Bombyx mori: one gene and its partner. The protein of the gene in region 2 binds, or shares a complex with, the protein of the main gene of each other region. Links are inferred from orthologs where the notes say so. Each region holds a gene or a part of one and is shown on either strand. Other genes may lie near its edges.

Region 1 (4,075 bases), on a different chromosome or scaffold from region 2:
CCTTTATTATATTGCACTTGATCAAATTTACTACACAACAGTCAGAGTTGCTGTTACATAGCAATTATCATTTTTATTTATTTTAACATAAAATAACACCACAAAAACATCAGCGGTGAAGGTGAATGAACGATCAATTGATTTAAAAAACAAACTTCATTGTCTGTGGTAAGTTGACATTCAATAGGGTAAAAATCGCTATTAATCGGCAATGATGAACCTTTTTTTCTTAAAACATATTTTCTTATGCAGCATGGCTTAGTCCTCGGTATTACCAAATAAAATTGTTTCTGTTATCTCGTTTAGTATCAATTGCACCTTTGCCCACTTAATTATCTTTCCGTGATCGCGTGATTGCTGATGGCCTGTAGGCTTTAACACGATAGGAAAGTGAGCTCTGTTTAAACCAAGAGGGGTAGAATTTGCTGTCAACGGCCTAATCGTTTCCAAAGAAGGGTGGTGCAACAGCATTTATGAAATAGGGCATAGCGTTTTAAACAGTCTGAACGGTCACATCCGAACTTTGCTTAAACTGGGACCGCTCACGCGGTACAATTAATCCTATTTTTCTTACTTAATAAAATTGCTACTGACTATCCACCAAGAAAAGAACTAAAAATAAGTTGAGTTGATAGTATCACTAAAACGTAGGTGATGAACAATATTAATTTGTGTACATGCCCAAACCTCTACACAAGTCGCAATATATAATGGTTGCATTCACCGGTTTCAAACTGACAGCAAACTATCGTGAGTCATCTACAAGCCGACCTTTTGGAGGAATGTGAAGTGTCCAGCTCTATAAATTATAGTGTTTTGTTCACTTTGTGTATCTTCAGATATAGATTTGTAAAAATCCATGAATGTAGAAAAATGAAGAATAAAGTCACTGGTCGTGGCTTTTCGGGTTTTTCCAAAAAGTCCATTGAATACTTAGTAAATTGGAAATTCAAATCTACCTTTTTATTTCTTAATTTACTTAGAGGCTATTTTATTCCTTCTCTAATGAAATTGTTGCAGTCCGCTTCATTTAGTTGTAACCTAATTTCACCTGTAAATTCGCGAAGTTTCCATTTTTGGGTTCAATCGTATCACAGAAATTTTCAAGGTATCGGGCGATATTCCCTTTACTTGTCTGACGAACGAAACCGATTATAACGAACGACAATGTCAGCTGTCAACAATTCGCGCCAAGACTTCTAAAGTTCCAAAACAAATGCTGCTTCGGTGTTGTTTAAAACTTGTTGCTAATTATTTTTTATAGTAAGTTGTGTTAAAAAACGAGTGTGAAGTTAAAAATGTCTACACCATCTAAACGCCCGTCGTCGCGTGCATCATCGGAAGCATCGACTCCACGAAGAACGCGATCCTCACAACAAGTTATCGTTCCGGAGACTCCGCAGCGTTCAACCGGCACACCTTCGAAAGGTGAGAGTTGACAACAGAATCATTAAGATTTAAAACAATTGTACATTTGTATATAAACTTTTATTTAGAATTACAAACAAATTAAACTAAAATTTGTTTTGTAAAATTTTAGTTTAATTCTGCTGTACTTATTTCATCTTAACATTTAACCTCTTTTATCAATTTATATTTAACTTTTTAAAATTTCATACATATAATACATAAGGGAATAAAAGGCTTACAGCGTAATATTTAACTAAATAAAACAGCATTCGAATTTTATCATGTTTTAAACAGGCAGACATCTGTTAATTGATTAAAGTAGACTAGACATCACAACCTAAATGCTAGCACCCGCTTTGGACAATAAAGTCTAGTCTCTAATGTCATAAAAATATTAATATAAAATAATAAGTTCAAGTTAATATAATAAAACAATGTTTTCAAGACATAGCATAAAAATATAATAATGATAGGTAGCAAAAATGACAATGTGTTTGAAGTATATTTCAAATAATGGAATATGGAAAAGAAGGTTACAACATTCCTCCCCATCTACATCTCGTTGATCAGACGGCGGGGTGCCTGTTTAGGTCGATTACTTCGACGCGGAGCAAATGGCACAGGAGTGGAGACCGGAGCAGGTGAGGAGTATAACTTCGAATGCTGTGAAGGTGAATTTGGAGAAATTTGTACATTTGTAGGCGACTGCGGTGTAGGTAATAGTACTGCTGCCGAATTCTTATTGTTAGTTAGCCTTTCGCTAATTGATGTTTCCATTCCAATGTCTGGAGAAGCAGTCGTCGGCAGCATAGAAGAATGCGCCCTTTTATTCCTCGGGGTTTCTGAGGTGGAAGACTCGCGTGGCCTGATGTGATCAGCGTGTCTTCGTTTTTCTAGTCCTCCTGGTGTTGAAACAATATATGAATATTTATGTTTTCGGGATGTAATTACCGCTGGTTCCCATATTTTATCATTGCGTGTTTTAATATATACTTGGTCACTTGGTCGGTAACTCGGTGATGTGGTACGAATGTTTTCTTTTACTTGTAAATACTGCATTAATCTTCTTTTGTCTGGCCGAATGTTGGAAAGTATGCAATTCAATTGTCGTCCAAACATCATCTCAGCTGGAGATTTACCAGTGGACGAGTGCGGAGTGTTTCTGTATGTAAACAAAAATTCTAATAGTCGGCGCTCGAGATTTGTGTTGTCTACCGATGCCATTCTATTTTTGAATGTTCTGACTAAACGTTCTGCCAGCCCATTTGTCCGAGGATGATATGGAGATGATGTGACATGTAAAATAGATTGTTTTGTGCAATATTCTTTAAATTCATAAGATGTAAATTGAGGTCCATTATCGGATATAATCATTTTTGGTAAGCCAAATGTACAAAATATGTTATCTAATGTAAGACAAAGTGATCTGGTGTTGATGTGTTTCATCGGTCGTATTTCCACCCATTTGGAGAGAGCGTCGCACAATACCAACCAATACGATCCTTCGAACGGTCCAGCAAAGTCGATATGGATTCTCTCCCATACTTCTTCTGGTATGGACCAGGAAAATACAGGAAGTTCAGGATTACAAGGGCGGTTCTGTTGGCATCTGGTACATTTCTTGACAAATAATTCTATGTCTTCGTCAAGGTTAGGCCACCAAACATAGTAACGTGAAAGTGCTTTCATAGCAGAAATGCCAGGATGTCCTCGATGAAGGTATGTAAGAATGGTTTTTCGGAGTGCTGTAGGTATAACGATGCGTCCTTGCCTCATAAGTATCTTATTCTCAACAGATAATTCAGTCCGGTTTCTGTAGAATGGTTTCATTTCTGGATTGTAATCTGATTCTCTCCAGCCGGTTTTTAAATTTTGACAAACTTTTGTGAGTATATGATCCTTTGAAGTTGTTTTCATAAGTAACTGTTCTGATAGATTAAGGTCAGTCATTCGAGTGCTCAAAAGACGTAGATCTATTTTATGTACAAGCCCTTCTGTCTCGGAGGGTTCAGTTTCAGGGTTTGGTAATCTGGAAAGGCAATCAGCTAATGTGTTATTTTCACCTTTCCTGTAGTAAATGTCATATTGATAACTTCCCACTACTAGGGCCCATCTTACCAATCGGTTATTGGCTAGTTTAGGAAGGTTGCGGTGTGCACCCATAATATGTATAAGAGGCTTATGGTCCGTAACTAGATTAAATTTCGTTCCTCTCAAGTACTGATCAAATTTTTTTATACCAAATACTATTGCTAAAGCTTCACGATCAATAACGGAATATTTCATTTCCGCTGGTCGTAGTTTCCTTGAAGCAAAAGCAATTGGTTGTTCTATGTTCGAGTCCTTGTGGAATAATACTGCACCCAATCCCTTTTCGGAAGCGTCACATGCTAAATAAAGGGGACGTTTCTCGTCAAATGCAATTAATGGTTGTGAAGAAGTTATGCATTTCTTTGTATCTTCAAATATTCTGTTTTCATGATCAGTCCAACGCCATCTATTTTTTTCACTAGTTAGATCGTGAAGATCCGAACAAATCCCGTGAAGATGTGGTACAAACCGTTCGTAAAAATTAACTAGTCCTAAAAATGATCGTAGTTCTTTTGCATTACACGGTGCTGGGGCCTTAGTTATGGCATCAATTTTAGATTTGGTTGGGTGGATG
Region 2 (4,391 bases):
GCGTGAATCCAGTAGCCGGCCTCGTGCGCACCCACAGCCAAAAGCCTAGCACGCGCCGAACCTGTACTACAGCTCAAAAGATTGTCATATGTCAATTTGCAGTTTATGTCGTCCCAGCTCTTCTGTGAATTTAGAGAAACTGGAAAATTTTGACGTGGGCATCCAATTAAGAAAGCGTTTCTAGCTTCTTCCAAGCCAGCAATCTCAAAGTTTTTTACTTATGAGATTTGCTGAACTATGGACAAAAGATAGGAAGGCTGGTAAAGCGACACGAGAAATTTTGCGAGTCCCTAAACCACCAAAACGGATGGGTAGGGATGCATGGGTCCAAGTTAGCTCGTTTAGCTGCATATTAAGAATCGATTCTAAGCCATTTTTGATTAAAGTCTACTTGTGTCAAAAGATCTGGGTGATTCCAAAAAGAGCAGCAATGGAGCACATACGTAAATTTTGGAACGAAAAAACTAAATTTTAAGATGCAAAGTGCTTAATGTGGACTAATTTCAAGGAAACGGTCAGCAGAATTTTGAAATTTAGTAATAAATTTAGTTATTTATAAAATAAACTATGTTTAAGTGCCGCCGTTATAGTACGGTTGATATTTGCAAAGTACAGCTATTTGTAAGTACAGATATTTGTAAGTACAGCTCTGTATTACTGAGGTAATGTAGTTATGCGACTTCAAAGAAGCAGGTTTATGTGGCTAACAAGATTAAATGTCTTCGCTAGTACGTACGTACATTATTCGATACAAAAACTGCAATTAATTGTTTAAAACAAACTAGGTGTGTCCCGCGGCCCACGGCTCTATTTTAAGTAAAATTTAGAATGAATAATGTAAATGTATTTACGGGATGGTCAGTGTGCTTGTACCAAGCACATGTACAACAACTTTCAGTAGTAATGTCCGAAGTAGAGTTCATTGTTCCATCCACAGCTCATTTCTAGAAATAATTCTAGGATGAACTCTATAGCAAAGTATTTCTGAAAGCTATATTCAGACGAGTTTTGAAAATAATATGTAGTTTTAAGTGGGAGGCGACGCACTCTTTCATAGTGTCAGCACTGGCTTTTCTCTTCTGAATATCGACTTTTTTCGTTTTCTTGCTCTTCATCCCTAATTTTACTAGTAAGATAAGGCTTGCTGTAAGCCTACTAGGATGGCTCGAGCACCCATTACTACTGAGACTTCCACAACATGAAGCAATAAAAAAATATTTAAAAATATTAACCATTCAACCCTTCAAACCAGGATGATGATTGGTTTGCACAAGAAATAAACAAGATGGTATGGCGGCTTATACTAATTTTATTACAGCGTTCGATGTTATTCCTTCACTACTAAACTTTGTTCAAGAACACAGTGGAGAAACATACTTAACATACAGGAACATTATCATTTGTAGAAATCGAACTTGATATTAAATATCATCGAGACTCATAGCTGCTCACTCACTCTTCGTAGTATTACTTATGATAGAAATAGATAAAACATTGGTTCAAACTAGAGGTGGCTAATATAACCAATAACCAATAAATTTACCGGTAAAAAAAATTAACACTTCTATTCGATAAATAAAATTACCCAAAACGGTTAAAAATACCGTTTACCAAACACACTGCGTGTAGTGGCATAGGCAATTATTGGAAATTATATTTATGCAAGTTTCAACTTTATTTCAACACGTAAGATTCATTTTCGCCTTGCAGATGTCTTCAACTTATCATGTAAAAAATATTGAATTTTATGATTTCATTGTATGCTCTATACCCCTCAAAATAAAGCACAATATTTAAGTTGGTGTATTTTACAGTTAATGATAATTTTTTTCGTTAAAAAATTGAAATGAAACGATATTTTTACCGAACGCGAAGATGACGTGATTGGTTGATTTTTTAAACGTAATATTTTGTTTGGTACTTGACATTTTGGTGGCTCAGTGCATCTTTTCTATTATTTTGGTAAAGTTGTGTTTTTGTATTTTAAGAGATTTGTACTTTGTGTTTGTGTGTTTTGACTTTGTTTTTGTGTGTTTGAGACTTTGCTTACTTTGTTGTTGTGGATTTTTAAATTGTATATCTAATTTAAAATGCCGAAACGCAATGCAGAAATATGGGATCATTTCGAAAAGTGCTAGTACCATTCAAGTTTAACATTAGCAAAATTAATTTTTCAACGAAAAGATTTACCGGTATTTTCAACCAATAAAAATATCGGTAATTTTTTTTATCAATTACCAGTTAACAGATAAATAAATTCAACCGTTAACGCCATCTCTAGTTCAAACCAACAAAGTTTTAAACAAATAGTAAGCAAAAAAATCTGTGAGAAAAAAAATTACATTATTTTACCATAAACTTATTATTTCAATAAAGGTAGTAGAAATAAAATCCCGTGCTATTCAGAAGAAAAAAAAAATTAATGACAATTGAGGTATGTCATAAAGTAACAATTTGTTTAGTACAGAAAGCAAGACAAAAATACAGAAAATTTTAATAAAAGAAAAAGATAAAAGAAAAAAAAACTATGATTGTAATGTAGTGAAACATGAATGCGATTATATACTCTTTAAATTTATAATGAATTGGTAAAAAAAGCTCTTTAGAACCTAAAAAACACCAGAACTCAAATTCGAGTCGTGAAAGCTAGAATAATATCATTCAGTGACAATCTAAAGTTGCACTAGAATTCTGTGGGTATATATAATTTAGAAGAATATGGAGTCAACCGAAGAGTTGCAGTTCAGTGATGATGAAGAAGAAGTAACAGCTGAGACTGTTTTAAAAACACTACAAAGTGCTTGGCAAAATGAAAGATTGTCCCCAGAAATACTCCCTCATCAAAATGACATGGTAGAATGTATGTTAGGTCAAATACAACACATGGAAAGAAACATAAATAAACTTTCAAAAACTGATTTGAGAACTTCTATACACAAAATGGAGATTAGCAGAATTAAATTTATTATTTGTAATTATCTTAAAACTAGACTGAATAAGATTGAAAAATATTGCATTCCAATACTAAACCAAGAAAGACAAAGAATAGAAACTGATACTAATTACCTAACACCATCAGAATATAAATATGCTCAAGAATATGTTTTGAACATGGAAAATCATATGAAAAATGTGGTATTAAATAAAATGCCTGGTAATATGCAAGTCTTTGAAATGAACAAAATGGCAGAACATCCTAATTTACAAACGCATGTATTCCTTAAAGCCAATGAAACCATTAATGGGGTTGTATTAGAAGACTTGACTGGTGAAGATGAAGAAATTGACTTAGAAGGTTTGTTATTGATTTTCTCACAACTGAAACACATTATAGGTTTTCTTTTGTTATACTTTGATAGATAGAGCAATACCCTTGTTGGTTTAATGACCTTGACTATTGTACCACAGGATATCACCTATATCATTGAAGTTATCATGACTTAAATAATAATATTATGGTATATTGAATGATTTGATTATATATGTCTTAAATTGAATCTAATTCTGTTTGATTAATCCACAAAAAAGAAATAACACTATGGAAACAATAAACTTGCCAAAATAAAAATAATATCCCATAATTATTGGTGGTAGGCCATATGGGAATGTGTCACCAATTAATTAGTCTCTGCCATAAAGCAGTCATGAAGTTTGAAGAATGGGGACAGTCCCCATACTAGACAATGGAGACTTAGACCTCATATCTCAGGAGGTATTCACTTTTTATAGTATTTATAGATTTTGGTGAACATTTAACATTGTGTATGTCTGACACATACAACACTTCTGAACATACATTATGTAGCAATCTCAGAAATAAAAAAAAATCAAACACAGTGAATGATATTTACCATAGGAGTTAAAATCTTATACTTTTAAACTAATCTAAAGTGCAAAGTTGTGCTATAATTAAAATTATTATTTTTTTTAATTAAAACCTTGAGGCAAGAGTTCTAAGTCTCCGTTTTATGACTCAGTTAATGGCTGCCCCAACTCTTAAACCAAAACGCATTACTGCTTCATGGCAGAAATAGGCAGGGTGGTGGTACACATCATGCAGGCTCACAAGACACCGTACCACTAGTGAAAGTGTAAGTAAGATGTTAAATGATAAAGCTGTAATGTAAAAATGCTTGTAATTACCTTAACATTTCAATTTAAAGTCTAAATTTTATTGTAGGTATGTAGCCCAACCATATACTTACACCAGTAAAGTCAAATTTATTAATTTCGTAGGTTTGTAATTGCAGTAATGCTATCTATATAAATACTAAGTTTATGCATTTCCTCAGAAAACTAGGGAATGTCATAGAATTTTAAATCTGAAATAGCAGTAGCTATCATAGGACAAAAATTGAGCAAAAACTGAAACCATGCAAAAAAAAATACAA

Evidence for each region. Proteins that work in one complex are often made in the same cells at the same time.
Region 1: DNA replication complex GINS protein SLD5 (region 2) and DNA replication licensing factor MCM4 share a complex: the UniProt entries of both Homo sapiens proteins name them as parts of the CMG helicase complex. The link is inferred for Bombyx mori from reciprocal best matches to the Homo sapiens genes GINS4 and MCM4.

The regions. Positions count from the first base shown.
Region 1 is NC_085125.1:2,551,046-2,555,120, forward strand, and holds the start of DNA replication licensing factor MCM4, read left to right. Parts: upstream 1-1,153; 5' UTR 1,154-1,298; coding exon 1,299-1,428; intron 1,429-4,075. UniProt on the Homo sapiens protein: Acts as a component of the MCM2-7 complex (MCM complex) which is the replicative helicase essential for 'once per cell cycle' DNA replication initiation and elongation in eukaryotic cells.
Region 2 is NC_085121.1:9,245,291-9,249,681, forward strand, and holds the start of DNA replication complex GINS protein SLD5, read left to right. Parts: upstream 1-1,521; 5' UTR 1,522-2,718; coding exon 2,719-3,295; intron 3,296-3,977; coding exon of another isoform or gene 3,978-4,000; exon of another isoform or gene 4,001-4,391. Other genes in the region: opsin-1, read right to left, coding at 1,378-1,384. UniProt on the Homo sapiens protein: Required for correct functioning of the GINS complex, a complex that plays an essential role in the initiation of DNA replication, and progression of DNA replication forks.